Stegostoma tigrinum: one gene and its partner. The protein of the gene in region 1 interacts with the protein of each later gene in a biochemical or structural test. Links are inferred from orthologs where the notes say so. Each region holds a gene or a part of one and is shown in the gene's direction. Other genes may lie near its edges.

What was found.
Region 2: the proteins of myo5b (region 1) and rab11 family-interacting protein 2 form a complex in vitro, tested with the Homo sapiens proteins (2 studies listed by BioGRID). The link is inferred for Stegostoma tigrinum from reciprocal best matches to the Homo sapiens genes MYO5B and RAB11FIP2.

What each region holds. Positions count from the first base shown.
Region 1 is NC_081354.1:158,440,051-158,456,747, forward strand, and holds the start of myo5b (unconventional myosin-Vb), read left to right. Parts: upstream 1-9,239; 5' UTR 9,240-9,640; coding exon 9,641-9,667; intron 9,668-16,697. UniProt on the Homo sapiens protein: May be involved in vesicular trafficking via its association with the CART complex. The CART complex is necessary for efficient transferrin receptor recycling but not for EGFR degradation.
Region 2 is NC_081373.1:19,051,334-19,067,988, forward strand, and holds the start of rab11 family-interacting protein 2, read left to right. Parts: upstream 1-10,643; 5' UTR 10,644-10,831; coding exon 10,832-11,184; intron 11,185-16,655. UniProt on the Homo sapiens protein: A Rab11 effector binding preferentially phosphatidylinositol 3,4,5-trisphosphate (PtdInsP3) and phosphatidic acid (PA) and acting in the regulation of the transport of vesicles from the endosomal recycling compartment (ERC) to the plasma membrane.

The sequences.
Region 1 (16,697 bases):
AAGGTTGCCATGTGGGTGCAGCAGGCCGTGAGGAATGCTAATGGCACGCTGGCCTACAAAGCAACATGATTTGAGTATTGGAGTCAGGATGTCTTGCCGTAGTTATACAGGGCCTTGGTGAGTCCACACCTTCAGTATTGTGTGCAGTTCTGGTTTCCTCATGAGGGAATCCAGCAAAGGTTTACCAAGCTGATTCCCAGGATGGCAGGACTGACATATGAGGAGAGGTTGGATCGACTGGGCTTGTACTCAGTGGAATTTAGAAGAATGTGGGGGGATCTCACAGAAACATATAAAATCCTGATTGGACTGGACAGGGTACATGTGGGAAGGATGTTCCTGATGTTGGGGAAGTCCAAACCAAAGTGTCACAGTCTAAGAATAGGAGGTAAGCCATTCAGGACTGAGATAAGGAAGAATTTATTTTCTCAGAGAGTTGTGGAATTCCCTGTGGAATTCTCTCCCAAAGAAAGCTGCTGGGGCCAGTTCATTAGATATATTCAAGAGGGAGCTGGACAATACCTTTGTGGACAAAGCGATCAATGGGTATGAGGAGAGGGTGGGAATGGGACCACGACATTATGTGATGAGCCATGAATGTTAGTGCAGGTTTTAAGGACTGAATGGCCGGCTCCTGCACCTATTTTCTATGTTTCTATGTCTATGTTTCTTGTTACATCCTTTGAAGTCATGCGGCAATCATTGAAAGCTCTGGCTTTTTCTGATTTCACACCACCATCAAAAATGTCGGAAAAATACAAAGGCAAGGTCTTTACATTATACTTTGGGGACAAATTTTGAATCCAATCAGGGCAGCTGGTGGAATTGAAATTCAGTTAATAAAATCTGGATGGAAACCTAGTTTCAGTGCTGGTCACCATGACAACTATCAACAACTTTGTAAACACTTACCTGGGGCATGATTGCCCTATATGGAGTGAAAACTGTCTTCTTTACCTGGTCTGGCCCATATGTGACTCCAGATTCACAACAATCTTTTCACTATTCTTTCAAAGGGCCCAGCAAGCCACTTTATTCCAGTGCAACTAGGGATGGGCAATAACTGCTGGCCCTGTCATTGACATCCATATTCCTTGAAAAGGTAAACTGAATAAAGTCCTAAATCATTTTCTTTTTATTTGCTGAAGTTCTGCTGCCTATCTACCGACACTTCTTCAATGAATAAACAAAAATATGACTATATTTGTGTTGTACTCTAAGAATTTCCAATGCCCATGTTTCTTAAATAAGCACATATTTATATTCATATTACATGGACAATAATTTAACACATCTATACTAATGAATTGACTGAACAAAAGAAAACGACGCACAAAATGCCCAGAGGCAACTCAAACTCAAGCTAAGTTGTGTTGAAGTAAACATCTTCTAACATAACACAACAACAACATTCAGGTCTGACTTTTACTTTACATAAAGGAGAGTTATTTCTTAATATGGCCTCAGATCTGATTAATCAATACTGTGCACACAGTGCAGTTGAGGGTGCAGTGCCAACTGTTCCTGAGTATTAGGATAAGACAAGAAGCCAAGCCTACCCTGTACTTGTATCATACTGGATTCAAGTGGAGGACAGTGTCTTGAAGACATAAAATAACCCCAACAAAATGCTATTCATTAATCTCAGTGTACAGTCAATCAGCCGAATAGACTCTCAGCCTTTTTAAAAATTGAAAGAACCGTAAATGTGCAAATCAGGAACAAAAACAGAAGTTGCTGGAAAAGCTCAGCAGGTCTGGCAGCATCTGTGAAGAAAAAAATCAGAGTTAACGTTTCAGGTCCAGTGGCCCCTCCTCAGAACTGAGGAACACTCGGCCTTTCTAAATTGATTGAAATGCAAAAGCGGCTTATGAATGCTAGCTTTTGCTACGTCCCTGTGTAAACAAACAGAGTAAAAGGAATCAGCAATACATGAGTGAGTTTGAGTTTTGACATTTAGCTTTGTTGTAGCTAAAAATTAATTAGATACTAATTATACAAATGATATGACTATGATTATAAAATTAATTATTTTAATGTACCTCCTCTGGGAGCCAAAACAAGCAAGTTACTTTAGAAATCAGACTCTGCTGGGTGATTTTAACACATTTGGCAGACAAGGTAAGCAATGGCTACAATGACATATCCTTCCAATTCTGTTGCCATGCTGCGGCTTGTAATTTTTGCCTTCTCTATCTGTCACACAAGTATGATGCTTTAATTCTTCTCAAATATGAAGATCAAACACTGAGAATGTGAACAGGACTTTATAGTAATCATCATTGAAGATCTCTATGAGGAGACTAATGTGGCTTCCCTGCCAAACTAAACTGGGGCCAGAAGAGTCCAAGAAATGTAGTTTGATTTGTTGGCAAGGGAAGGTATAGAAAGTATGTTCCTTCAGATATCACAGTTAGCTTTATTGTAGCCCTATCCCAGATATACATTCCCACTCACAGCACTTACCCGAATGCCAAAATCCATTCCTTTGATTCTCTGGTAGTGGTCACCTACTGCCCAAGATCTCATTCCTGTCCACTGGTCAATTAGTGATTTCCAATATATTCAGGTGAGTGACCGTTAAGGTCCATCGGGGTAAAGCCCAGGAAGGTAAAAATTCCCAGGTCATAGAGTCTTAGAACTGTACAGCATGGAAATAGACCCTTTGGTCCAACTCATCCATGGCCAACCAGATAACTTCCATAAGTCTAGTCCCACTTGCTGGCATTTGGCACTTATCCCTCTAAACCCTTCCTATTCATATGCCCATCCAGATCCCCTTTAAATGTTGCAACTATACCAGCCTCCACCACTTTCTCTGGCAGCTCATTCTACGTGCACCACCCTCAGTGGGAAAATTTGCCCCTTTGGTCCCTTAAATGTATGCCCTGTTTTGGACTCCCCCACCCTGGGGAAAAGACCTTGGCTATTCACCTTATCTGTGTCCGTCATGATTTTATAAACCTCTAAAAGGTTACCCCTCAGCCTCCAACACTCCAGGGAAAGCAGCCCCAGTCTATTCAGCCTGTCCTTATAGCTCAAACCCTTCAACCCGGGCAACATCTTTGTAAATCTTTTCTGAACCCTTTCAAGTTTTACAACATCCTTCCTGTAGCAGGGAGGCCTGAAATCCAAGCAGTTTTCCAAAAGTGGCCTTACCAATGTCCTGTAGAGCTGCCACACAACCACCCAACTCCTATGCTCAATACACTGACCAATAAAGGCAAGCATATCAAATGCCTTCTTCACTGTCCTATCTACCTGTGACTCCACTTTCAGCGGACTATGAACCTGTGGTCCAAAGCCTCTTTGTTTAGCAACACTCTCCAGGGCCCTACCGTTACGCGTATAAGTCCTGCCCTGATTTGCCTAATCAAAATGCAACACCTCACATTTATCTAAATTTAACTCCATCTGCCACTCCTTGGCTCATTGGCCCTTCTGATCAAGATTTCTTTGTGCTCTGAGATAACCTTCTTCACTGACCACTACATGTCCAATTTTGGTGTCATCTACAAACTCACTAACCATACCTCCTATGTTCACATCAATTTCATTTATATAAATGATGAAAAGCAGTGAACCCAGCACCGATCGTTGTGGCATGCTGTTGGTCACGGGCCTCCAGTCTGAAAAGCAACCCTCCATCCCCATTCTCTGTCTTCTACCTTCGAAGCAGCTCTGTATCCAAAATCTGTTCTCCCTCTACTCCATGTGATCTTACTTTGCTAACCAGTCTGCCGTGAGGAACCATGTTGTATGCCTTACTGAAGTCCATATAGATCATGTCCATCATTCTGCCCTCACCAATCGTCTTTGTTACTTCTTCAAAAAACTCAATCAAGCTTGTGAGACACAACTTCCCACCCACAAAGCCATGTTGACTCCCTAATCAGTTCTTGCCTTTCCAAATCCATGTAAATCCTGTCCCTCAGAATTCTCTTCAACAACTTGCCCACTGCTGATGTTAGGCTCATTGGTCTATAGTTCCCTGGCTTTACCTTAGCACCTTTCTTAAATAATGGCATCATGTTAGCCAACCTCCAATCTTCCAGCACCTCCCCTGCAGCTGTCGCTGATAAAAAATATCTCAGCAAAGGGCCCAGCAAACTTTTTTCTATTTTCCCACTGTGTTCTAGGGTCTTGGGGATTTATCCACCTTTATACATTTTAAGATATCCAGCACCTGCTCCTCTGTAATTTGGACATTTTTCAAGATGTTGCTATTTAATCACCCACTTTCACTATCTTCCATATTCTTTTCCACCAAAAACACTCGTTTTTGCAAAATACTCATTTCATCTGTCCCCCATCTCCTGATTTCACACATAGTTAGCCTTGTTGATCTTTAAGGGGCCCTATTCTCTCCCTTGTTACCCTTTTGTTCATAAAGCATTTGTAGAATCCCTTTGGATTCTCTTCAACCCTATTTGCCAAAGCTATCTCATGACCCTTACTGCCCTCCCGATTTCCCTCTTAATCATACGCCCACTGCCTTCATACTTTCCTAGGGATTCATTCCATCTCTGCTGTCTTAACCTGACATATGCTTCCTTCTTATTCTTGACTAAAACCTCAATTTCTCTCGTCATCCAGCATTCCATACACCTACCAACCTCGCCCTTTGCCCTAACACTTTGTACAGTATTGTATGGTTTTGGATCTCTGTCAGACCTAAGTCCATACAACTCTCATTAGGAGTGCAAATGTTCACTTTACTATATGAAACACAAATAATAATTTGCTCAAAACAATACTGCCTGTTTCAGAACAAAAGAGGTATTTCACTGAGCCAGAACTTTATATTAAGGTATTTAAGTCAAACAACAGATTTTGGGGTTCAAAATTAAAGCAACATTAGACCACCTTTAATGTAGGTCATGCTTAGTTATGCTGACTTACACATACATTTAAACACACTTTTTGTTAACGCACTGTCAAAAACCATCATCGTGCTAAAAACTCAAGAAAACAGCACATCTAGTTAATATTTAGCCCTCAACTGCCACTGGTAAAACAGATAATCAAACTAGTTATTTCTTTGCTGGGTGCTTGCTGTCTACTTATTAGCTGCCATGCATCCTGTATACAACAGCAATTATGCTTCAAAAATACTTCATTGGCTGTGAAGTGGCATGTGTTATCCTGAGGTGCTGAATGGTGCTGTATAAATGTCGGATTTAACAAAGAAAAATGTTGCCATTCATCATTCAGTGATATTTAAAATGGATGTGGTATTTCTCATACACTAGGCTTTCGATCAGTATTTGTCTGTTCATACATTGCCATTGGTCTGAGAGACTTCTAAAGGCTCAATCAGTTAAGTGCATTGCATTGGCAGATACAGAGATCAGGAACGTCCAATCATGACAACTAGTCCTAATGTCCCCAATCACTAACAATGGATAAATTAGCCAGAATTGATGAAAAGAAAGGACAAATTGGCCAGAATTGGTGAAAAGGATCCAACAAAAGCAGGAGTTAGAATGCAAACCAGATGATCAGCTTCCTGTGGAAACTGACCAGTGTCATGAAAGTTCTCCCTTGCCCATTAACTTCTGTGAATCTTAATTCCACTTGCCTCATCTACCATCCACCTCGATTTCCATCTCTCTTCAGTTCTGATGAAGTGTCGATGGGATGACTAGATGGGAATCTTGCTAGTGAGTGGATTGGCACCTATCTGCACACATTAGCAGCAGCACATGGACAACAGCAGTTCAAGAGGGGAACTCACCACTATCCTCTCAAGATCAACTATAGATGGGTAAGAAATGCTGGCCCAGCAAGCGATGCCCATATGCCATGATGAATAGATATTTAAAAAATTGCATCATCACCTAATTTCACCTTATTTTTGTCTGAGTTACTATCTTTCTAGGCAGTGGAGAGAAACTGGACTTGAAATGAAAGTCTGAATGGTTACCTGTGGCAGAGGCTTGTTAGTGTCTTCTCTGAGCTTCTATCTTAGCCAACATTCCCCCCAACACCTCAGGGTACACTCCACAAGTAGTGACTTTCTGTACTCTTTGTCCACAGAGGCTGGCACAACCAAGCCTTGGTCTCACACCATCATGGCACATCTCCGACTCACTTAATATACAGCTCACCATTTCATACTGTACTTCAGAGTGCTGATCTTTCTATTGAAATGGTGCTGCCAGATTGCTTTGTGTACAGAGATAGACCCTCCTTATTCATTTGTATGGGGTGCATTGAGTCAGAGCTGTTATCTTACCCTTGCAGTGCTCACTCTCTTTGTGCTTGATTGGATGCTTAAAGCATCTCTGCCTTGCCTTGTGCTTTCCTGCATTGCCACCTTGTTCCGAATGTATAGGCTTGCAGAACTTTATTTCACCTGCTTTTTGTTCAGACACAATGCCAGGCAGTCAGTCATATTTGCCAGCGATGAAGAGTCAAGGGGGGTGGATATACTGCTGTAAGGCCCCATGTTCTACCTTCACCATGTACCAGTGGCAAAAGCTTTTGTGGCAAACCCTCTGAATGTGCTTCAACCAAATGACCCTGACTCATATTCTTATAACCTGTAAACAGTTTCAGAGATGCAATAAGAGATATTTAATTTACTCTGCAAGACTGTACTCATTATACCAGAATGTGGACTTCATCATACAAATGACATTGCATACCACACAAGAATAGTGGCTCAGTGGCTAGCATTACTGCCTCACAGCATCAGGGACCCGGGTTTGATCCCACCCTCAGGCAACTGTTTGTGTGGAGTTTGCAAATTCTCCCCGTGTCTGTGTGGCTTTCCTCTGGGTGCTCCAGTTTCCTCCCACAGTCCAAAGATGTGCAGGTTAGGTGGACTAGCCAAGCTAAATTGCCTGTAGTGTCCAGGGGTGTGCAGGCTAGTGGGGTTAGCTATGAGAAAAACAGGGTTACAGGAATAGGGTTGGGGTGTTGGTCTGGGTGGGATGGTCTTCGGAGGGCCAGCTTGGACTTGATGGGCTGAATGGTCTGCTTCCACATTGTAGGGATTCTATGAATCTAATCCATGTGCTGGTAACCCTGAAGAGTTCAAGGAAAACTGATACAGATCAAAGCTGGGGACTAACGATCTCTGCTCCCCACGAAAAGATCCTACCAAAGTGCACCACTTTTCTGCATTGAACCACATCTGCCACCCAGTTGCCCACTATACCAACTTATTGCCATCCTTTTGGAGTTCCACACTGTCCTCCTCTCAACTAACAATTCTTCTGAGTTAAGTGTTAACTGGATGTGTGGAAATTGTCCCACTGTCCACCAAGATCCGCATCATTTAAAGCAGAAAAATCAAGGGTCTCAGTACTGACTCCTCCGGAATTCCATTACAAACCTTCCTCCAGCCTGAAAAATATCCATTGATCATTGTTCTCTGCTTTCTATCATTCAGCCAATTTCATACCCATGTTGCCACTGTTCCTTTTAAATCAAGTATGATGATATTCTGACTTTAAGAGGGTTATGTTATCCTGTTCTTTTTTTTAAATGGACAGTTTGAGACAGAGGTGTCCAGCAGTCTGTTCAAAACCAATAAACAGGAGGCCTTGGGGCTTTTTAAAAATTAGAACAATAGAAGCAGCCTGAATGGGTGAAATCAAGCACTCACAGCACTAAGGTTTTAACTTCAACTTTCAGTAGCAGTTGCTGAGGTCTTGAAGCTGTGATAAGGTTAGGGTTAGGGTAAAACTGTTTTCCCCTCTCTGTCACAGCTAAAAGCTGGGCATTCTCGATCTGCTGATAGAGCTGCTTGTGAGACAATCTATTTTACTGACTTTAACTTTGCCAAAGGTGTGATTATGGAATGTTACTGGATTGGAACAGTTAATGGCTAGCTTATTAATTTTGTTAGTTATCTTGATAGAGTTAAAGTTAAGCCAATTCTTTTCTTTTATTTTGACTGTATTTTAACTATAGTGCATGAATAAAGTGTGTTTCGCTTTAAGCCTGATAATTTGACCAATCGAAATGCATTCACAACACACACCTGGCATTTGTCTTTAAAACAACAAAAAAAGTTAGGGTCTGGGCTATATCCTTGACATGTCTTGAAGGGGTTTGGTCTGGTTCATAACACATGGCCTACAAGTCTGATGTGAGCCACTGCATCAAATGTCTTCTGGAAATCCATCAATACGCCATAAGCCTGTCCATCACTTCTTCAAAAAACTCCAACAAGCTGGTTAAACAGTTTCCCCTTTAAAAATCCACACTGTCCGTACATTGGACATATTATCGCTGCATCTCTCCCACAGATGCTGCCAGACCTGCTGAGCTTCTCCAGCAATTTCTTGTTTTTGTTTCAGATCTTCATTAACCACAATTTATACCTCGTCCAAGTCTGAAAAGAAGACATCCTAGGAGAATAGAGAAACACGAGATTGTCCTAATTTGTACTTGACATTGGGGAGGGGTTGGAGAGGTGGTAAATCTAATTGTATAAACAAATACGTGACAATAATAGTTATCGGAAAGAAAACGTCGTAGGTGAAGTGCTGTGTATGGGTTTGTAAGGATAAACTCTTGAGCGCAATAAGCATCATTCGCTACGGTGATGTCATGAGGCTCTTGTGAGAACCAGACCTAAAGAGAAGTCCTCTCAACAGCCTTTGCAGTAATGATCCTCTTGTTATCATTTGCAAATGGTTGCAGAGATGCAATAATCTGCATCTTGCTTACTCTGCAGAACTGTTCTCAATAGACCGGACGACAGCTACCCTCACAGACACTAGACCATGTCAGTCCCAAAAGAACCCACATAGAAAAGATATGGGCGGCAGCTCACACACTCAGGCTATTGATCACTTCATGACATCCTTTCGGTTGAGCACTTCACCGCAAAGCCCCTCAGGTAGCCAGACTTTACATTGACAATGGGAACGACTTTTCCCCCAGTCTCTTACTCTTTGCACATCTAACAAATAAAAGTGTGCAAAGTAGAGGTAGAAAAGCTTTGTTTTAAAGCCCTGCTGTCTTTATTTTAGATGGAGGGTAAATTACTTGAAGAATTCTTCAATTGCTGGAAACTAGAGGGCATTTGTGAGGGGAAGACAGGAGCCCGGGCTAGGTTTGGAAGAGGACAGAGGCTGGGGAAGCAGCGATCACCACCGCAGGGGAAGAGACAGGTGCAAACACTGTCGCAGTCCTCAAGCCGGCACTGGCGCGGAATCTCAAAACGCGGAAGTCACCAGCAGATGGCTCACCCGTTCCCAGAGCCTCCTGGGGGAAAAGCTTGGTTTCAGTGACACGGGAAATCAGAGCACCTTGCGAAGCTTTCTACAAACGCAAGCATTTTTCGTTTTGTTTTCGCTCTCCCGTTGCAAAGCGCGCACGGCGCGTCTGTTGGAGTCATTTGTGATTCTTACTGTTAGTATAAATCCCACTTTCCCCGAATTAGAAATAAAAGCACCAGGTCGGGGAGCGGCTTAAAGCCTAGGGGCGGAGATCTTGACACCAACTTTACACCTGAGTGAAAGGTCGCTGCAGAAAAGCAGGAAAAATGGCGACTAATGGAGACATCGCTTCGCTAATGTCCAATGTGGATGGTAACTAAAGCGGCTGGGGGGTGGCCACACGTCCATCTTCCCATTGCTTCAGCAGCAGGAGGAAGAAGGCAGACAAAGTACAGATCGACATGTCAGCCTCGGAACTTTACAGCAAGGTGAGTGTTGGGGAGATTGTAGCCATTTAAAATGGTTACAATCTCCTGGATACCACTTTCATTCCAAATTAAAAAGTGTTAAAGTCGACAGCGCGCTGCGCACCAAGCCCCACGATAATACTAATTAGGAGGAAAACCACTATCGCAGTCCTATCCTCATTTCTTTTAAATGTTTCATTTTAAAAATCAGTTTCTCCACCTTCCTTCCGTTCTCCTGTGTTGATTCGGAAGCTCCAGTAAACATTTAATTTCCCGCTGCCGTTGAGATTAAAGTCAATGTTGCGCGATAAAGTTTGAAGTAATTTTCATTTGTGGCAAGCAATCCTTGTTTGTTTAGTTTTCTTTTTCAAAGGTAAACATTTAATGCGATCTCCTCGAAGCGGGTAGTGCGGAGCAGGTGTTTAATGGTGCAGGTTGTGTGAGAGAGGTTGGGATCGTCTGTGGCTTTAGCAAAATCGGGAACAGGCATAAAAATACCTGCACAAGTTTGAATAGTTTTTTAAAAAATACAGTTCTACCTTCTGAGTTGCACGGTTTCAAGTTTTGCTGTTTGTCTCTTGATCCGGAAAGACGAGAGAAATTCAATTTTAAAAAAAAGAGATTGCTGGAGAAACTCGGCAGGTTTGCAGCATCTGTGGGGAGAAACGATTTGACTTGTCGAACGCAGGGACCCATTATCGGGTTTTTTCTCTCTAGATGCTGTCAGACCTGAGTTTCTCCAGCAATATGTGTTTTTGTTTGCTCCAGATCACCGGTATCCGCCGTTCCTTGAATTTTAAAAAAACGTATTTTTGAAAACGCTGAAAGCACCTTTAATGCAAATTTGATTCAATGGACTGAATACTACACAAATCTGGACACAGTGAGAATGTCTCTTCTTTAGTTCTACGCGATTAGGGAACAGTTTCGTTTCCTCAAAAATCTTTTTATTGGTGACACTAAAAACAATGCCTGGATACTTTTATTTTATAAAATAAAACTTTTATCTTGCTAGTAACATCCGAGTCTGACTGCCCTGTTATTGGGATATCTCTTTCGATGGGAAGTGGGAGCGCTGTGGTAAATGTTATTGGACAAGTAAGACTTTGGAGATTTGCTATAAAATTGCACAAAGGATCCAGGAGGAATTTAAATTAGTTTTACTTAAAATCTGGAATTTTATGAAATAATTAGTTGTGCTGATTACAATATAACCACATTAGTAATGCTTTGGCTTTTTTTTAATGTCCAAGTGTCAGGAATTCTAGTGACTTCACCTAGTTTGACCTACATGTGATTACAACATAGAACACTACAACACAGTACAGGCCCTTTGGCCCTCGATGCTGCGCCGACCTGTGAAACCAGACTGAAGCCCATCTAACCTGCACTATTCCATTATTATCCATATGCTTATCCAATGACCATTTACATGCCCTTAAAGTTGGCGAGTCCACTACTGTTGCAGGCAGGGCATTCCACACCCTTACTACTCTCTGATTAAAGAGCCTACCTCTGACATCTGTCCGAGATCTAACACCCATCAATTTAAAGCTATGTCCCCTCGTGCTAGCCACCTCCATCTGAGGAAAAAGGCTCTCATTGTCCGCTCTATCTAACCCTCTGATCATCTTGTATGTCTCAATTAGGTCACCTCTTAACCACCTTCTCTCTAACGAAAATAGCCTCAAGTCTCTCAGCCTTTCCTCATAAGACCTTCCCTCCATACCAGGAAACATCCTGGTAAATCTCCTCTGCACCCTTTCCAATGTTTCCACATCCTTCCTATAATGCGGTGACCAGAACTGTATGCAACACTCCCAAGTGCAGCAGCACCAGAGTTCTGTACAGCTGCAACATGACCTCATGGCTCGGAAAATCAATCCCTCTACCAATAAAACCTAACACACCGTATGCCTTCTTAACAACCCTATCAACCTGGGTGGCAACTTTCAGGGATCTATGCACATGGACACTGAGATTTCTCTGCTCATCCACACTACCAAGGATCTTACCATTAGCTCAGTATTCTGTATTCCTGTTACTCCTTCCAAAGTGAATCACCTCAGGTTTTTCCGCATTAAATTCCATTTGCCACCTCTAAGCCCATCTCTGCAGCTTATCTATATCCCTGTGTAACCTGCAACATCCTTCCACACTATCCACAACTCCACTGACTTTAGTGTCATCTGCAAATTTACTAACCCATCCTTCTGCACCCTCATCCAGGTCATTTATAAAAATGACAAACAGCAGTGGCCCCAAAACAAATCCTTGCGCGACACCACTAGTTACAGAACTCGAGGATGAACATTTCCCATCAACCACCACCCTCTGTCGTCTTCCAACTAGGCAATTTTTGATCCAAAGTGTTCAATCACCCTCAATCCCATGACTCCGTATTTTATGCAATAGCCTAAATTCACATGTGCTTATCCCTGAATTATCCCAGAAGTGACTTAACTGGTGATTTGTTGCAACAAACTTATAGAAAAGTCAGACAAGAATAAAATGGGGCAGTTTACGTGCCATTGAGCTAAAACAATGGATACACCCTGTCCATTTAAGCATGGAAAGTGGTTCTCAGTAACATCTGCAGATTTGTGCTAATACAGGGGCTGTTCCATGCTGCTGGTTTCCCAGAAGTCTCCATTACCATTCATGGTTAGGTTCTATGCTAACAGCAGAACAGACTAACCAGAGTTGACAGCACAGTGATATAAAGTTGCCATAGTCATACTGGACCATAGGTCTATTCTCTCATTAGAAAGAGGCAAATGATAATTTAACCTAAGGGTCACTACTCAAGTGATGAGAAAGAATGAAAAGGAGAGTCCTTGACAGTAACCAAAGTTGGTGCAGGAATTCAACCCACATTTTGCAAATCAGCTGGCAAAGAAAATGGGAATAGGAGATGGAATTTTTGCAGGTGGGAGGAGGTGTTTTCTAGGAGCTGTGGGAGTCAGTGGGCTTGAAATAGACATTGGTTTCTAGGTGGTTTGCCTACCTACTAACCTCATCCCGCCACCTTGACCTGTCCACCCTCCTGGGACTGACCTATTAGCTCTCCACCTGTACTCTCCTCTCCACCTATCTCTCTTCTATCCATCTTTGGCCCGCCTCCCTATATATTTCAGAACCCTCTCCCCATCCCCCTTTTCTGATGGAGGGCCTAGGCCCGAAATGTCAGCTTTTGTGCTCCGAAGATGCTGCTTGGCCTGCTGTGTTCATCCAGCTCCCCGATTTGTTGTCTCGGATCCCCCAGCATCTGCAGTTCCCATTATCTCTCTCTTTCCTCTATGTTGCACCCTGCTTTGAAAAGATGTAGAATGTACTGCTTATAGAGGATGTCAATACCAACCAACAAGAGTGGTTTACTAATAGCACTGCTGACCGAGTCCTGAAGAGCATGTCTGCCAGTCTGGACCTACAAGGGATAGTGAAAAAATCAACTGATGTACCTTTCCCATGGAAGCATTTGTCGTGACCCTTTATAGTGATGGTCCCATCTTCAAATTGAAAATAGCCTGCAATGTGTGGTATGACACTACCACTGTTCTAAATGGGGTAGGTGCTGAATATTTGAGCAAATCCAGCACCGGATTCTCTGGGTGAGCTCCTCTTTCTACAAACAAAGGCAGTGAGTGTCTGACAATAGGGATCTCTGAAAGTCAACAAAAAGCCTAGTGTACAGACCAGTGTTGTCAGCACACTCCTGAATTGAAGTGATATCTAAACTCTGCATCGATGATATGTAAGGAGCTAGCGAAATTCCACCAGCTACGCCTCCACTGCTTTCTCTGAATTTAATCGGAGGACCTTCATTCAGGCAAAACTCCTGTGAAATCAACTGATTGGCTGAATGTTGTCTGCATGGTGAAGCATTCTTTTTTTTCCACCGTCTGGCCCTATTCTTGCCATTCTGAAATGGCTGGCCTTGGGAAGAGCAAAGAACATGCTAGAAAGACTCGCTGAAGTTTGGAAACATTTAACTTTGATTGGGAGGAGCTTGTTGTCATTCATTTGAAATGGCTATAATCTGTCTGTCATGTTGTACCATGCTTAGACTCACATTTTATTGATCAGGCAGTACAGTAGTAGAGAAAGAAACAAAACATTCTATACATTCTGTTCCTCATCGCAAAGATCTGTAGGTGAGAATTGGCCACCTCGGGTGTCAAATAAAGAACCAAACAGAAACTTGTGACTGAGGAGACATCATCTTTAAATTTATGGACAGATCTTTTTATAAGATCATAAGTCACAAGAGCTGAATTAGGCTATTCAGCCCATTGAATCTGCTCTGCTGTTCAATCATGGCTGATCTGTTTCTTAGTCTCATTCTTCTGCAGCTTTCCCTTACCCTTTGATCCCCTTACTAATCAAGTATTAACTTTGACCCCCACGTGATGTCACCAAAAACATTGACAAAGTTAATACTTGATTAGTAAGGGGATCAAAGGGTAAGGGAAGGTGGCAGGACTCTTTCTTCAGAACTCAGGACTGATTAAGTCGACTATTGTGGCACCTTTTTTACCAAATGCCTGTTGAAAATCCAACCATATTACCTCCACTTTTCCTCTTTAATCTACCCTGCTTTTTACTCCCACAAAGAATTCTAATAAAATTGTCAGGCATGATTTCCCCTTCATGAAACCATGCTGACTCAACTTGATCATATTATGTATTCTAAATGCTGTATTACAATTTTCATAATAGATTCTAACATTTTCCCAATAACATGTTATTATACTGGTATTAAAGCAAACTACTGAAGATTTTATGTTCACTAACTTTTGCCAAAGAGAATGCTGAGAACTATAATGGCAAGGCTGAGTAAATGAGGATATGTATAGAAGTGGGACTGTTTTGCCATATTCATTCTCAGCTCCTGAAGCAGTTCATATCCGTATGAAGTAAGACCTGGACAATGCTTGGGTTGATTTGTGATGCGTTGGTTATTTGCTACTTGTTAAGTGCCAGGTAATGCAGTCCAACAAGTGATAATCTAACCATTGACCCTTGCTATTAAATAGCATTTTCATCACTGAACCCCACAGGTAACACCATGGGGGTTACTTACAGCCAATACTGAGATGGACCTCCAAATAAATAGTGGTTTCATGAGCAGGCCAGAGACTGAGAATTCCATGGCAGGTAATTTTGCCTCATGAATTCCCAGGACCTGCCTATAACGTACAAGTCAGGAATGTGCTAGAATATTTTCCATTTTCCTGGATGAGTGCAGCTCTAACAATGCTCAAGAAGTTCAGCCATCTAGGGCAAGTAGCCTGCCTGATTGGCAGCCCATCCACCACTTTCACCATCTGCCCCCTTTACCATCTTCAGCGACATCTTGCAAACTTTTTCGTCATCTGGATGGACAAGGACAACAGGTGCATGGGAACATGATCAGCTGCAAGTTTCTGTTTCAGCACCACACTATATCCCGAACTAAAACTATACCTCTATTCCTTCATGGGTCAAAATTCTAGACCTCATGCCCTAATGGCATTCTGGGGGACCCAGTCCCCAAGGACTGCAGCAGCTCAAAAAGGCAACTTGCCACCATCACCTTTTATGAGGGTAATTGGGGATGAACAACAATGCTGGCTTAGCCAGTGGTGCTCACATCCTGTGGAATAAATATTACAAAATGGCTTAGTCTTCTCTCTCTTACTCAGATTAGAAAACATTGTTACATTTGTATGGAGCGTAGCAATGGAAAACCCATCTTTATGAAGTCAATTTCAGACTGTTTTGAAAGGTTTGACAATTCCAAGGATAAAATCATGTAGTTACTTTTGCTTCATTTTTGTTAAAGTTAAATTATTATTTCAAGTAACTTGCATTTTAAAAAGTGCTATGAAATACAATAAAACACAAGCACTTAATTCTGTGATGTGATAAATGTCACTACCACATAAAGGGTAACACACAAGATTTGCAGATATAATAAATGTATGATATTGTTAATGAGACAAAATATAGAATGCAAGCAGCTTTTCAAAATAAAATTAACAACATAATTTCTGTGAAAGCAGATTAAATATGGCAATTTTGTTCTAGTGATACTCAGTGGCTGCTACACCATACCACTTTTTTAAAACTGTGAGCTGTAGTTTTGATCTTGAAAGCATCATTAATTAGATTTATTCTTCTGAATATTAATGTTCCTTGCACTTTTGGAATATTCGAGAATTAAAGATCCATCTTGTGGATTTTGCTTTGAACAGCAAGTGATAATAGACCATAAACTGTTTTTCCTTTCCCCATTTTCTTTTCACTTTTTTCTTTCATTTTTAAGTATGTTTTGGAAGGGGGTGACAAGAATGGGTTTTTATCTTGATAGGGTGATTACAAGATGCAGATCATGTGATAAGTCCTAATGTTTATCTTACTGGATTGATTCCTGGTGCGAGGGCCTTGTCCTCTGAAGAGTGGTTATGTAGAGATAACAAGGTGTAGAGCTGGATGAACACAGCAGGCCAAGCAGCATCTTAGGAGTAGGATTTGGCCAATATTCGCCTGCAGTTTAGAACAAGAAGTATTTTCAATGAAGCATTTTGTAATGGGAAGATTTCTTGGTGTTGAAAGTTTGTTCCGCTGGCTGTCAAATCTAGATCTAGAAGACATAGTTGGGACTGAGACAGGAATTGATCATTTGTTTCTGAAATGAAGTGTAATTTCTTCCAAGTACTGTTAAATATTTCAAATTCTCATAACACAGAGAGCACTGTAGGCTCCAATTCAGTATGGTACACCGATAACAAATGAGTTCAGCAAGCAATTAACATGGCAAGTTGAATGTTGTCACTTCTTGCAAGGGCAATGGAATATGAAAATGCAATTTAAAAAAAATTGCTCGGCACTGATGAGACATCTGGAGTACTGCGTACAGTTTTTTTTCTGGTCTCTATTTAAGAAAAGACATAACTGTTAGAAACAACTTTGAAAAAGATTGATTTCTCTGATTCCCAGGATTGGCTACATGTTTATCTTTGAGGAAATATTGAACATATCCACTGAATTGTAAGATGTTATCTTATTG
Region 2 (16,655 bases), on another chromosome or scaffold:
ATTAGGATAACAGAACAGAGCTAAGAATAAATGTTACGGTTCCACAAACAGCCAGATCAACATTAAATTTAAAATTTGCTAGGTCCATTCAGACATCTAACAGCAAAGAAGCTGTCGTTGAATCTGTTTAAACTTTTGTACCTTCTGCCCAAATCAAGTGATCGAAAGACATTATAACTGGGGTGGGGAAGGTCTTCGATTATGTTAGCTGTCTTCCCAAGGTAGTGCGAATTATCAGTAGAGACAGTGGATGGAAGCTTGGCTGGCATAATGGACTGGGCTGCGTTTACAATTCTGTAGTTTCTTACTTGCCATACCAAGCCCTGGTGCATCCAGACAGAATGCTTTCTCTGGTGCATCTATGGAATTTCCCGAGCCTCTTGAGGAAGTAGAGGTGTTGTTGTGCTTTCTTTGCTGTAGTGTGAACATGGGTGGACCAGGACAGATTGTTGGTGCTCATTAATCCTAGGAATGTGATGCTGTTGACCATCTCCACCTCAGCACCATTGATGAAGACAAGATTGTGCCCTCCACCTTGTTTCCTGAAGTCAATGACCAGCTCTTTTGTTTTGCTGATGTTGAGGGAGAGATTGTTATCATTACTGCATGCCACCAAGCACTTTCTCCTTTCTATATTCTGTTTTGTCATTGTTTTACATCTGGCCTACAACAGCGATGTTATCAGCGAACTTGTATTTGGAGTTAGGGCAGAATTTGACCACACAGACATCAGTGTACAGGGATATACTAAGGGGCTGACTATATAGCCCTATGGGGCACTGGTGTTAAAGCTTAGCATGCAGGAGGTGTTGTTGTCTATTCTCACTGACTGCAGTCAATGAGTTAGGAAGTGGAGGCTCCCGTTGCAGAGGGTGAAACAGAGACCTAAGCTTCAGAGTTTGGAGATTAGTTTAACTGGAATAATGGTGTTGAAGGCACAGCTTTAGTCAATAAGTAGGAACCTGATATATATATTCTTGTTATTTAGATGTTCCAGGGATGAGTGCAGGGCCAGAGAGATGTTGTCTGCCATGGACCTGTTGCAATGGTAGGTCAATTGCAAGGCAGGCTGGGAGGCTAGAATTGATGTAAGCCACAACTAACCTCTTGCATACCTAATAATTACGGAGGTCAGAGCACCGGTAGTCATTGAGGCACTCTGCACGAGTTTTCTTTGGCACCAGGTGATGATGGACTTCTTGAAGCAGGTAGGGATGTCACACTGTTGTAAATTATAAACCCTTTCGCATTTGAGAACTCACAGAAGTGTGCAAAGGAAGCATCACTAAACACGATGAGTTCCATGTTTCCGGCCCTTCAAAATGTTGGAAAATTCAAAATACCACATTCTATTTTATTCAAAATTTTATTCACTTAAAATAAAACTTTCTAACTTGGGATTTTTCATAGTCACCATCAGGACCTCAAAATTAGAATCTCATCTTATTTGAGTACTCAGCAATTCGGTTGTCCAATTAATATGCACAATTCTCTCATCTCAATTCTGAAAGGTATTGCATCTTTTCTCCAGGCCTGACTTTGACAAATTGCAATCGTGCAAATATTTTCTACATTAGATTGCTAATGCAAAATGTCACCTGATCTATTCTACTTTATTTCTAATTCAATGTTTGTAAAAGCTTCACTTCAAATTTTGATACAGAGATAGTAGGAACTGTTAATGCTGGAGAATCTGAAATAAGGTGTAGAGCTGGATGAACACAGCAGGCCAAACAGCATCAGAGGAGCAGGAAAGCTGATGTTTCAGGCCAAGGCCCCCCTTCGGAAATGGGGGAGGGGAAGGGGATTCTGAAGTAATTAGGGAGAAAGGGGGGGGTGGAAAGAAGATGGATAGAGGAGAAGATAGGTGGAGAGGAGCTAGGCAGGTCAAAGAGGTGGGCTTAGAGCCTGTAAAGGTGAGTGTAGGTGGGGAATTAGGGAGGGGTTAGGTCGGTCCGGGGAGGACCGACAGGTCAAGGAGGAGGAATGGGGCTAGGAGGTAGGAGTAGGGCTTGAGGTGGGAGGAGTGGATAGGTGTGAGGAAGGACAGGTTAGGGAGGTGGGCACGAGCTGGGCTGGTTTTGGGATGCGGTAGGGGGAGGGGAGATTTTGAAGCTTGTGAAGTCCACATTGATACTAATGGGCTGCAGGGTACCCAAGCGAAATATGAGATGCTGTTCCTGCAACCTTTGGGTGGCATCGTTGTGGCACTGCAGGAGGCCCAGGATGGACATGTAATTCAATGAGTGGGAGGCAGAGTTGAAATGGTTCATGACTGGGAAGTGCAGTTGTTTGTTGCGAACCAATTGTAGGTGTTCCACAAAGCAGTCCCCAAGCCTCCATTTGGTTTCCCCGATGTAGAGGACACTACAATGGGAACAGCGGACACGATATACCACATTAGCAGATGTGCGGGTGAATATCTGTTTGATGTGGAAAGTCTTCTTACGGCCTGGGATGGGGGTGAGAGGGTAATCCACAAACCTGACTGCCCTGGTCAATTCATTGTCTCCACTTGCTCCTGCCCCACCGAACTCATCTCCACTTATCTTGACTCCGTTTTCTCCCCTTGATCCAGGACCTCCCCACATACATCCGTGATAGCACCCACTAGGGGCAGGTGTAGCACTTCCTGCGGTGGCAGGGAAAAGTTCCGGGGGTGGTGGGGCTGGAGGGGAGCGTGGAGCGGACAAGGGAGTTAAGGAGAGAGTGCTCCCTCCAGAAAGCAGGTAAGGGTGGGGAGGGAAAAATGTCTTTGGTGATGGGGTCGGATTGCAGATGGTGGAAGTGTCGGAGGACAATGCGTTGGATCTAGAGGTTGGTGGGGTGGTATGTGCAGATGAGGGGGATTCTGTTTTGGTTGTTATTACAGGGAGAGATTATGAGGCATGCGCTGCGGGAAATGCAAGAGACACAGTCAAGGGTGTTTCCAACCACTCTGGAGGGGAAGTTTCAGTCCTTGAAAAACAAGGACATCTGGGATGTCCGGGAGTGGAATGCCTCATGTCAGGAGCACATGCGGCGGAGGCGAAGGAATTGGAAATAGGGGATGGCCTTTTTGCAGGAAGGCGGGTGAGAGGGGGTGTACTCAGTTAGCTGCGGGAGTCGGTGGGCTTGAAATGGATATCGGTTTCTAGGTGGTTGCCAGAGATGGAAATAAAGAGGTCCAGGTGGGAGACAGAGGTATCGGAGATGGTCCAGGTGAACTTAAGGTTGGGGTGCAAGGTGTTCATGAAGTGGATGAACTGTTTGAGCTCAAGGTGGCACCAATACAGTCATCAATGTAACAGAGGAAGAGGTCACGGATAGGGCCAGTGTAGCTTCGGAAGAGGGACTGTTCTACGTCTCCTACAAAAAAGCAGGCATAGCTTGGGCCTATGTGGGTACCCATGGCCACCCCCTTTTTCTGGAGAAAGTGGGAGGAGTTGAAGGAAGAGTTGTTAAAGGTGAGGACGAGTTCAGCTAAGCAGATGATTGTGTCGGTGGAAGGGGACAGGTCAGGCCTGCGGGGCAGGAAGAAGTGGACGGCCTTCAGGCCATCTGCATGGGGAAGGCAAGTGTATAGGGACTGGATGTCCATGGTAAAGATGAGGTGTTGGGGACCAGGGAATCGGAAGTTTTGGAGGAGATGGAGGGTGTGGGCGCTATCATGGGTGTAGGTGGGGAGTTCCTGGATCAAGGGGGAGAAAACGGAGTCAAGATAAGTGGAGATGAGTTCGGTGGGGCAGGAGCAAATGGAGACAATGAGTCGACCAGGACAGTCAGATTTGTGGAATTTGGGAAGGAGATAGAAGCGGGTACTGCGAGGTTGGGGAACGATGAGGTTGGAGGCTGTGGGTGGGAGGTCACCTGAGGTGATGAAGTTGTGGATGGTTTGGGAGATAATGTTTTGGTGGACAGGGTGAGGTCACGATCAAGGAGGCAGTAGGAGGTGGTGTCGGAGAGTTGGTGCCTGGCCTTGGCGATGTAGAGGTCAGTGTGCCATACCACAATTGTGCCTCCCTTGTCCGCGGGTTTTATGGTGAGGTCGGGTTTGGAGTGGAGGGAGCGGAAGGCTACATGTTCTGTGCGGGAGAGGTTGGAGTGGCTGAGTGGGGTGGAGAGGTTGAGGCGATCAATGTTGTGACAGCAGTTGGAGATGAAGATGTCAAGGGAGGGTAGGAGGACTTGGGGGTGGTGTCTTGGAGGAGGTGTTGTGTTGGAGGCGGGAGAAGGGGTCAGTAGAGGGAGCATTAGACTCACGATTAAAGAAGTAAGCGCCGATATGGAGGCGGTGGAAAAACTGTTCAATGTCCAAGCGTGAATTGTATTCATTGCTGTTTGGGTGGAGGGGAACAAAGGTGAGCCCTTCATTGAGGACTGACTGTTCGCCCTCCGTGAGGGGGAGCTCTGGGAGAATGGTGAAGATCCAGCAGGGCTGGATGCTGCTGTCTCCTCTGGAGTTGCTGGCAATGGGTGGAGTGGCATCAGCAGTTGCCTGTGGGTGGGGCGTAATCAGTGGTGGGCGGAGCATTGGAGGCCAGTAAATCTTGGGTGTTGGTGGCGGCAGTAGCGTCGCCCTTGATGTCTGTGGTGTTGGCCTCGAAAATGGAGGCTGCAGCATCAGCAGCGGTGTCGATGGCGTTTGCTGTACCGGAAGTGGCATACCGGGTGGTGGTAGATGTGGCATCATCATCCTCACGTACCAACCCACCAACCTCCGGATCCAACGCATCATCCTCCGACACTTCCGCCATCTGCAATCCGACCCCACTACCAAAGATATTTTTACCTCCCCATCTTTATCTGCTTTCCGGAGGGACCACTCTCTCCGTGACTCCCTTGTCCACTCCACACTCCCCACCAGCCCCGGCAATTTTCCGTGCAACCACAGGAAGTGCTACATCTGCCCCTACACCTCAACCCTCACCCCCATCCCAGGCCTTTAGAAGACTTTCCACATCAAATAAATGTTCACCTGCACATCTGCTAATGTGGTATACTGCATCCGCTATTCCAAATACGGCCTCCTCTACATCAGGGAAACCAAACGGAGGCTTGGGGATTGTTTTGCAGAACACCTACAATTGATTCACAACAAACAACTGCACCTCCCAGTCATGAATCATTTCAATTCTGCCTCCCACTCCTTGAATGACATCCTGGGCCTCCTGCAGTGCCACAACGATGCCACTCGAAGGTTGCAGGAACAGCATCTTTTATTTCGCTTGGGAACCCTGCAGCCCAATGGTACCAAAGTAGTCTTCACAAGCTTCAACATCTCCCCTCCCCCACTGCATCCCAAAACCAGCCCAGCTCGTACCCGCCACCCTAAACTGTCCTCCCACCTATCCACTCCTCCCACCTCAAGCCCCAACCACCACCTCCTACCTATTAGCCTCATCCCGCCTCCGTGACATGTCCGTCCTCCCTGGACCAACCTATCCCCTCCCTGACTCCCCACCGATACTCACCTTTACTGACTCCAACTCTGCCTCCTTGACTTTTCCGTCTCCTCTCCACCTATTTTCTCCTCTATCTTCTATCCGCCTCCCCCTTTCTCCCTACTGATTTCAGAATCCCCTTCCTCTCCCCCATTTCAGAAGGGTCTAGGTCCGAAAAGTTAGCCTTCCTGCTCCTCTGATGCTGGTTGGCCTGCTGTATTCATCCAGCTCTACACCTTGTTACTTCAAATTTTGAATTCTGTTTTCAGTTCTCTTATGACAATGTTTTCAAATTCACTGCTTCCACCCCACAAAAATATGTCTGCATGGATCATAATAGTGCCTGAAACCTCCTTGCAATGCCAGTAAAACATGGCAGGCCCTGCTTTCGACAGGAGGTAGTTCAATTTTTATTAGACAGGCATTAGTGAGAAATAACAAACTCTATAGCCATAATATGTGTAGTTAATTTCTCGATTAATCCCACTACATTTGTTACCTACTTCATTTTGAATTGGACAGAAATGAAATTTTAATATTTCAATTGTTCTACATTCCCACATATTTGTCACTAACAATGTCAAGAGAATCTTCGAAACTGCCTTTCTGACCATAGATGAATCTAATCACATCTTAGATCCCAGTTTTTCTTCAAATTCTCATGTCATTAGTCTGACCTGAACCTTGCAAGTACCGTCAATATATGGCTTTCCATGAATATCTCCCAGTTAGACTGTCTCCCAGTTAGCACATTTCCAAGCAGTTGCCTAAATACCACTGCCTCAAAGATTATTTCTCTTCAGCCAGGTAATCACTCCATTATCCTGTTTCTTAAATAAAAAGTTCCTTAATATTTTGTCCATTGCTTTTCTTTTAAATCCTAAAAGTGTTGCTTTTGTAACTCATTTCCCAATAAATCTATTGAATACATGTTGGTCACCTAGGTTATGTATTACATCAACTACATCTCCACTACTCTTAACTTAGTGATGCCTCCTAAATTCATACTAGCATTCAGCAAAAATAATATTATTGTGTAAATCTCAACAGTAAGAACCACATCACCATCTTCTTTGGTGTTATACCTGCTCTCCTGCAGCTAAAAAACATTCTGCCAAAGCGTCTGCTGTTTCTTCTTGTGCTTGCTCAAGAATTCCCACATGTATGCAGTCAGGCCTTCAGGTCCTTAATAACAATTCCTCAAATAATATCTATCTTCACTAAACACTCCCAGCTCTCTCAGTCATCTTATTTACGGGATCAGGAATCCTCTCTTGCGAAAACCAAACTGAAGAACACATTTAAAAATGCATCCATGCCCTGATCCTCCACAACTAATCTGCTAGTCTTATCCTTTAGAGGCCCAAAGTGTTCTCTAATCCTCTGCCTTCTGTGAACATAACTGAAAAACTTCTTATTCCCCTTGATAAACCACTGCAATTTTCCTTTCTAATTTCTTTTTTACTTTCCAGATTTCTATTTTAGTAATCCTTAGGTACTGTTTACATTCAAGCTGAATCATGTTCCTCATGTCCTGGTTCTTTACAGACTTTTGCCTGTTTCTTTTAGCTATTATTTACCTTTTTATTCAGCCTATATCTACATGTTATCTCAGATTTCTCAGTACCATAGAAATTTGATTAAATCCTTTCTGATGTTCTTTAAATGTGTTTGATTTCACTGCATTTTAATATTCATTCAGTGTCTGATAGATTGTTTTGAGTTTTTGTAAAGGACAGGTTGGCACCATCATTCAAGCATTAAGTGCTTGACCCCAAATCAGAAATTACTTTGATTTCCAGGAATACTTATCACTGATGATTGCATGTTATGGTTGAGTGACTTCACTTTGGCTCTCAGATGAGGTCTGAAAAAAAAATAGGGGTGGGAGAGATCACACATTTCACTATGTTTGTTTATTGTCAGTGTTTAGCAACAGTTCAAAGGAAAAAAGTCTTGACTCACATCTATATTATGCCTTTCAGGTTAAAAGGCATATCAGGGCTTATTGAAGCGTGTGAAACACATTATAGGAACTACAGCATAATAATCCAAAGAGGAATTTGTAACCTGGCTGGATTTGTTATTCAGTGTAAAGTTGAAGGAGAGTGCAGGAGCAGGAAACTATTATATAAGCTTGGATTTTCATCCTCAAGGCAAATAGCAGGATTTGAGGAAATTCTCAGCTTTGTATACCAGTTTAAAACAGTGTGGCGCTGAAAATGCAATGTTTAGTGGGAGTTTTTTTAGCAACAGCTAGTGCAGCACTCGTCACATCCGAAATCGAACTCCCTCCCTATTATCATTGATGGTGCACCAAATGGATTGCAGTGGTTCAAGAAAATAGTTCACCATCACCTTTCCAAGGACAACTAGCGGTGGGCAACAAATGCTTGCCCAGCCAACATTGCCCAGTTATCAGGAGTGAAAAAAAGAATAAGGAGGAGTAGTACCAAGTAGGAGCTTTGCATGCCACTTGGAGGAAGAAGCAAAGGACAGAGCATAAAGTTGGGCATCGCTGCAGGACAAGTATGTTTGCATAAATACCCAAATATATTGAGCTGATAGGAATTGACTGAATTTCATAGCTGAGAATATGGGCAGAATTTTAATTCATTGAAAGTCCACTCACCTACTCAGAATTAAAACTGAGCCTTTTCGACACACCAGCAAGTGACAGGGTGTTGCCAGATGTTGCAGTGAGCATGCTGGGTGGGAAGAGGTGGGATGCAACATGAAGGAGAAGAGTATGAAGGAGAGGGAAAGCGCTGCTGAAAGCAGCCAAGGTAACAGCCACCTTGAACCTTTTTTTTTCCTTTGAATCTTAACATGAGCCAATAAAAAGTGATCAGCAACATCACTCCAGCAGAAAACATTAAAAGCCACATCATATATCTAATGATTAGTCACAAACAATATGCTAAACCAAATAAAAACTGGGAAAAAAATTGCTGGAAAAGCTCAGCAAGTCTGAAAGCATCCACGGAAAGAAATCAGAGTTAACGTTTCGGGTCAAGTGGCCCTTCCTCAGAACCCCAGCTTACTTATTCTTCCCTCATCCTGGGCTTGTCAAACAAACTTTCACTGAATTTCACCTTACTTTGTCTGCAATTAGTTAGCACACAAGTATCCTGAGGCCACTGGACACTGAGGTTAAAGAGTACTTTGGACTCATTGCCTAACTTTGCTTTTTAACAGCAATGATCCAGTAGGATCAGGGTTTTCCCAACAGCCTTTCAACCAGGCAAATCTCATTGCCACAATCATCATTGGTGCCTTGAAGGACAGGCAGCATGCAATCTACAGCTTGGGGAACTCTTGACTTGGATTTTAGGGTGCAGGTGGGGTGTACAGAGTGAATTTCCAACAGTTCCTCAGAGTCATAGAGATGTACAGCACAGAAACAGACCCTTTGGTCCAACTTGTCCATGCCAACCAAATTTCCCAAATAAACCTGGTCCCATCTGCCAGCATTTGGCCCCTACCCCTTTAAACCCTTCCTTTTCATGTACCCATCCAGATGCCTTTTAAATGTTGTAACTGTACAAGCCTCCATCACTTCCTCTAACTGCTCATTCCATACACACACCACCCTCTGTTTGAAAACATTCCCCCTTAGATTCCTTCCAATCTTTTCCTTTCCACCGTAAACCTATGTCTTCTAGTTTTGGACTCCTACCCCAGAGAAAAGGCCTTGCCTATTTAACCTATCCATGTCCCTTCTGATTTTATAAACCTCAATAAGATCACGCCTCAGCCTCTGATGCATAATGAAAAATAGCCCCAACCTATTCAGCCTCTTCCCACAGCTCAAACCCTCCAACCTTGGCAACATTCTCGCAAATCTTTTCTGAAACCTTTCAAGTTTCATAACATCCTTCCGACAGCAGGGAACATTTAAAAAGAAACTTTCAAAGTGGTCCAGGTGGAGCCTTGGGTTGAAATCGTGCTAAAAACATAATGTAGAAATAAAGTTGTATCAGGAGATAATGGGAACTGCAAATGCTGGAGAATCCGAGATAACAAAGTGTAGAGCTGGATGAACACAGCAGGCCAAGCTGCATCTCAGGAGCACAAAGACTGACATTTCGGTGCTAGACCCTTCATCAGAAATGGGTCTGGGCCCGAAACGTCAGCTTTTGTGCTCCTAAGATGCTGCTTGGCCTGCTGTGTTCATCCAGCTCTACACTTTGATTTTTATTTAAACATAACAATTTTAAACCTATGAAATGTTCAGTCCACTTTTCAACCTATTTCCAAATAATACCAATATACCATGAAATTTCATGACAAAAAGTATGATACAACAATAATCAACAGTTCACCTGACAAAGGAGTACAACTCTGAAAGCTTGTAATTTTAAATAAACCTGTTGGTTTATAAGCTGGCGTTGTATGACTTCTGATGTCGTCCACCCTCGTCCAACACTGGCATCTCCACATCATTGTCACTACCTAAATGGAACCAGGGGCTGTTAAAGAAAATGTAATCTTCTTTTGAAGTTTTTTTATCCCCTAACTTCCACTGGGAAAATCTAAAACTCTCAAATTTGGATTGCCAATTTAAGAAAATACAATTCTGTTAGCTGCTTGAAGTTAATCTTGCTTGCCGGGTAATGTTGCCAATGTCTCCTGCGGAAAAGGCAAGGAATTCACCAAATTTGGTTATCCCGAGTAAAACCGACAGAACTGCGGATGCTGTGAATCAGGAATAAAAAAAAACTACAAAGTTGCTGGAAAAGCTGTGTTGGTTATCCCGAGAGCTGCAGGATTGGGGGGTGGGGTGGGGGTGGTGGTTGCACGCTGGGTTAAGGGGCATCCGCACGTTTAAAGGAAACTATAAATCCTCTGTTCACGTGTGCCAACATCCAGAAAAAAGAGAAAGCAAAACGCAACTGTTTAAATGGGATTTTCAATCCTTCTTGTCACCTTTGAGGTTTATTCGATGACAAAAAAATAACGTCCGTCTTCATTCCAGTTACACAGACATCTCTCTGCACATCAGGTTTATTTAGGTGTGTGTATATATATTTTTTTCAAAAATAAAACTGTAAATACATTGCTTACCTCGAAGATCGGTTTGGAGATACTGGCCTTGTAGTTGACACCCCGGGGCAAATGCCCGCTGGGTTACCGAAGCCGAGTGCGTTGCTATGGGAGACGGGGGAAGAGTTTCAACTCTCACCTCTGACCCTTCCCCCCCCCCCCCGCAACCAGGAGGCGGCGAGGATGGGAGGTGAAGCGGGATCGGCCTTTCTCATCACATTTCGGCCTTTTATGTCCCGGCAGCAGTGAGGGAGTGTGAAGGCGGCGCGGTCGGGGCGCCTTTGAGTTTAAATATTCGCCGACTAAGCGTGCTTTCAATGAGATAACCGAGCGAAGCAAACAAAACGAAAAGAAATAGGTAGATGATGCTGTCGGAGCAGTCGCAGACATGGTTTCCTACCCATGTCCAAGTGACAGTCTTGCAAGCCCGGGATCTCAACCCCAAAAGCAAAACCGGCACCAACGACACGTACACCATCATCCAGCTGGGCAAGGAGAAATATTCGACCTCGGTGGCGGAGAAAACCTTGTGCCCGATATGGAAAGAGGAGGTGTCCTTCGAGTTTCCTGGTCTACTGCTGCAGGGGACTCCAGAGAAATACATCCTCCACCTGATTGTCATGCACCGTTCCCTAGTCGGGCTGGATAAATTCCTAGGTCAGGTAGCCATCTGCCTCAATGAACTTTTTGAAAACAAATCGAGGAGGCAAAAGGAGTAAGTGTTTCCCCTTTTGTAGTGTGTTGGGTTGTATAAATCTGCCATTGAGTTAGAAGACATCTAGGGCTTCAGTTGTTCACGTTTAATCTTCATGATGTTGCATTTACAATAATTCAGTATGCATCCGTAGTTTGTCCATAATGTGTTTGACTTGTGTATGAGGTGTAAATGCTCTAAGTTGAACCGACTCAACCTCCAACACCACCTCCACAACACCCCCCCACCCCTCCACCCCCACCTCCTGCCCAAACAAAAGACTGGCAGCAGGTTGAAAACAATTCTGATGTTGTCAGTATACTTGGGGAATTTTTGTGTGATTGGGATTGCATAAAAGCACCAGCTGCTCATTTCTCGTTTTTAAAAAAACGTTGCTGTCCTATTGTGCAATCCGCATAAGGTAAAAGGACAAAGAATACAACCACACGAGTATGCAACTATGGAACAGTGTGTATGTTTTTGACTATTAAAATATAGACGTGTTGTCTATTTTGGTGAAATATCAATGCACTACTCTTTCCATATCCAAGTTACACTGCTCTGTATTCATTTATACTTTCAGCATCAGCAAAGCTTATCCTTTTTAATGCTTCAAAACGGTTAATATTTTTTTCATTCCAAAACATTAATGAAATATGCTAACCAAAATCAAAATCGGTGTGTTTATGTGACAATGCAATGAAGAATTAATGAAGTAAAGGCAGTCCAAATCTAGAGTCTTGACTTCATATGAAACCAGAGAGGACTTGCTTCCATGGAATGAGACTTTCTTACACTCATTTGCTCCACACTCAGGTTGAACTCAGAATTCAAGAGTTTCTGTCTTTTATTCAGAAGATTTTGGAAAGAATTGGAGAGAGAATTCTTGACTTTTAAATTTCTGGAAAGCCTGTCAGTTGCCTTAATGCTTGAAACACCCAGGCAACATCTGTAATTAGAACAAGTGTGGGTTTTATTTCTTGGCAGAGAAGAACATGGAAACAATTTAGCCAGACAGGATGTTTGTTTCAGTTACTCACTGGTATAATGATTTAAAAACAGTTAAATCTCTTAATTTGAAGCTTCAGATTTATAAAGTGATTTGTTTCAGTTACGCAAGTTTAGTTTCTTGCACAAATGGGCAAATTCACTCATTTTAAACTAGAATACGTTTCAGTACTCCTGAATTTCATGGTCTTGTCCATGTATTTGTTTGATCAAATATTTAAAACGGTTGCATGAAGACTGGAAATAACTGATAATGAAGGAAAATGGTCTGGAATTCTTTTTTTATTAAAGATGCAACATGGATATGATCAGGGAGAAGGCTGACTGGGTGGAGAAGGAATACATTTGAAGGAAGGGGTTTTGAAGCTTACTTCAACAAGAATCAAAGGCATTCAGGTTCCTTTCCATTTATCCCTCCCGTCCATTTCTGATCCTTTGAGGATTCTTTTTGTATTCACTCACAGAACATGGATGTTGCCAGCTAGGAGCGTTTATTGCCTGTACCTAATTACCTTTGAGATGGTGGTGAACTGCTTTCTTGAACCGCTACAATCCATGTGCTGTCAGTAGGCCTGCAATAGCCTTACAAAGGGAATTCCAGGATTTTGACCCAGTAACAGTAAGTGAACAACAATGTATTTCCAAGTTAAGATAGTGAGTGGCTTGTAGGGCAACTTGTAGGCAATGGAGTTCCCCGTGCATCTGCTGTCCTTGTCCTTCTAGATGGAATAGATTGTGGTTTTGGAAGGTACTTCCTAGGAGTTTTTGGTGAATTTCTGCTGTGCATCATATACTACATGCTGCTGCTACTGAGCATTGATGGTGGAGGGAGTAGATGGTTGTTGATGTGCTTATCAAATGGACTGCTTTTTCCTGGATGGTGTCAAGCTTCTTGGGTAATGTTGGAGATGCACTCATCAAGGCAAGTGGAAGTATTCTACCGTACTCTTAACTTGTGTCTTGTACATAGTGTACACGATATGGGGAGTAATGAAGTTAGTTACTCACAACAGTATTCCTAGCCTATGACCTGCTCTTGTAATCACTGTATTTATATAGTGATTCCAGTTGAGTTTCTAATCAATAGTAACCCCCTGGATGTTGATTATGGGGATTCTGTGATGTTAATGCTATTGGATGTCTCGGGGTGTTGGATAAATTGTCTTTTTACTGGTGATGGCTGTTATCTGGCATTTGTGTAGTGTAAATATTACCTGCCAATTGTTATCCGAGCCTGGATATTGTCCAGATTTTGTTACATTTGAGCATGTACTGCTTCAGTATATGATGAGCTGCCTGCGATGTTGGACATTATGTAATCATCGGTGAAGATCCTTACCTTGGGCCCCCCTCAAAATACTGAGACCCTGAGACAGGTGCAAGGACTAGAAAATCATGATTAAATGCCAGTAAAAATTACTGCTGAAATAATTTCCATAACCCTCATTTTCTGTCAATGTGATTAATGCCAAAGGAGATCTGGTCAACTAAATATCTCTTCTAAGATTTGAAATGCATTCATATGCAACAGTTTTTGTTTTGAATATTTTTCCCTTCGTATGAGTATTTTCTCCCTTCCCAAGTGTAAATCCTTTGCACCCAGGTATTTGAATACAAGTACATGCACCCTAAATGAAAGAAGAGAAATGAACTGCAAAGAACACTTATTATCTCTGAGAATAATCTAATTTCCTATTGTATAAACGGTGTTGGTAAGTTTTCATTGTTTTGATCATTCCAAGCAAAGGTTTTCTTAATGTGTAAGTATTATCAATATTTTAAGGGTGGAATTTTTGATCCATCATTTAATTCTTTAAGAAGATTGAAATGGCCTATCAATGAATGATTGTTGACTTTCAGTGCTCCCATGGTTGTGTTAGATGAGAGAAGTACCAAGTATTTAGCCAGTCCTTGTAAACAGATGTTAGTATGATATGTAATTCAGAGGGACAGCTGCTAGTGCTGTTATTCCTTTTGATTTTGCTGTTATCCTTTGTAGCAGTAGAAGCCAATAAACTGGAAGAAACTGTTGAAGTTAAAAAGTTTCTGAGGCGTATGCTGTAGTTGGTACACAATAAAATGGCTCAGGTGGAAGAATTTTGCATTCAATGATACAGACTTGCAAAGTGCCTTTTAATGTAGAAAAATTGTCCCAAGATTTCTGACTGGGGAGATTGAGATATCAAACCAAAGATGATGTTGGGAAAGATGTGAAACACTTAGGTGGATTTTAAAGAGGACTGATTAAAGGAAGTTCAGGGAGGGAGTTCCAGACCCAAGTATGTAGATAGGTGAAGGAGCATCTGTAAGTGGCGATGTAAAGGAATGAATTCATAAAAAGTCGGAGTTGAAAGAACAAGGAGTTCTGAGGCCTTCAGGCCTTGAGTTATGGTGAAGTGTGAGGACTCAAAGTTTACAGTAACGATAAGTATTTGAAATTAAAGAAATGCAGGACCAGAAGCCAATGCAGGTAAGTTATGAGTTAACAAGTAATAATGCAAAATACAAGAGGTTAGCAGAATGTGAAGTTTAGAGCATAAAATGTAAGGTTGATTTAGAAAGGAATGTATCATGCAGTATAATGGTTTTGTACGTAAGATAGGCACCATTGGAAGATGCAAGAGCAAAACCTATGGACACTGAATCTGTAGGACATGTTTGAAAGCAGCAGGGAGTGAAATAATCTACGTTTTGACAACTTTTCCAGCTTATAAAACTGAGAAATGTATTAGGTTTGAAAATTTAATTTAGAGATTTGGTAGAGGTTTTCAAAATAAAAGGAAGGCTAAAAAGAGTAGGTAGAGTGAAGCTGTTCCTGCTTGTAAAAGAAAAAATTGAGAATATAGATTTAAAATGATGTGCAAAAGAAGCAAGGATGATGTCAGAAAAAACATTTACTTTCAGTGAGTACTCGGGGTAAGGAATGCAGTATCTGGAAATGTAGTTGTGGAAGATTTGATTAAGGCATTCAAGATGGCATTGGATGATTATTTGATTCCAAATAAAATGCAAAGATGGGGGAAATGGCAGTAGATTGGTATTAGTTTTATAGAGGTAGTGCAGGCATAATGAGCCAAGTTGCGTCTTTCTGCGCTGCCATTCTTCGATGAAATGGAGTAGTGATGGGGCAGAAAAAGGAAACAAGTATTTTCGCAGAACAGGTGTGCTGCTGCCCAAATGCAGTCAAGAGCTAGAAATAGAAGCAATCAGTACAGAGATTGGAATCTGAAATTGTTGAATTTTGCATAGTTTCCAGAAGACTGTAAAGTATAACCCAATACCAATATAACGAGAGATTTGTTGTCAGTATTAATTTTATTTGTTCAATTGAGGACATTGCCATATCCCATTATAAGCCTGACATAGGCTTGTGACTTTAATGAGGTAGCTGCTAAGGATATAAAGTCATGAGACAAAGATGGAACTTTTTCTATTCTATATTTTGTAGACTTGACCAGATTTTCTCTTTCTATAATAATTTTTAAGAACACAGGTAATCATAGACATACTCATTAAGAAATACACACTGACCTTGGTGCCCTGATTAAGAGTCTAACTGATGGTGGGAAATTTGCCCATGATGAGCTCAGTCTTAGATGTGATGGTTTTGAATACTGTAGCTAAGACTCCTTTTTAGTGATGGACTGCGAAAGGAAATTAGTAACTACTGAAATATTGCAGAAAAATTTAGCCAACCAGACTGTAAGTTGCCAGTAACAAAGGCAGATGATTCATACAAATATTTCAATCAAGGTGGTTGAAACAGTCTGTATCAATTGGTCTGTAGGCGAGATGTCAATTTGCCTTCTGTTAGTTGATTTAATTTTCCAGTTCAGAAGGCACTACAAATCTTTTCTGCTCATTTGTGCTGGCAGTTTGGGGTGAAAGTGTGGCAAATACAAAAGCACAATGCAAGTGAGTCTAGAAGTAATTCCTGAGTCACACAATGATAACAGCAGAGAAAAATAGTGCAAGGGGGTGACCTCTCAGGAGTACTTCTGATAGACAAATGAATGAGTAAAGGCCACTGCTTGTCTAAATTGCACAATTAAATGAAAATCAAGGAACAACCTCCAAACAGAACTAGAAGTAAACATTCTCATGATACTGAAGTTTGTCTCTGTTCTGTGGCCTTTGCAATCTCAAGGATGGTATACGGTGCACAAGTTGGAGTTGCAGTGTTTCAAACTCCCAATGCAGAAGTGTATTTGAGATAGTAGGAACTGCAGATGCAGAAGAATCTGAGATAACAAGGTGTAGAGCTGGATGAACATAGCAGGCCGAGCAGGAAAGCTGACGTTTCAGGCCTCGACCCTTCTTCATTAAGAAAGGTCTAGGCCAGAAACATCAGCTTTCCTGCTCCTCTGATGCTGCTTGGTCTGCTAAGTTCATATAGCTGTACACCTTGTTATTGCAGAAGTGTACCTGTCCGATTGCGTGCCACATGAATTGTTGTTTTACAATCAATGTTTGCACATTGTTGC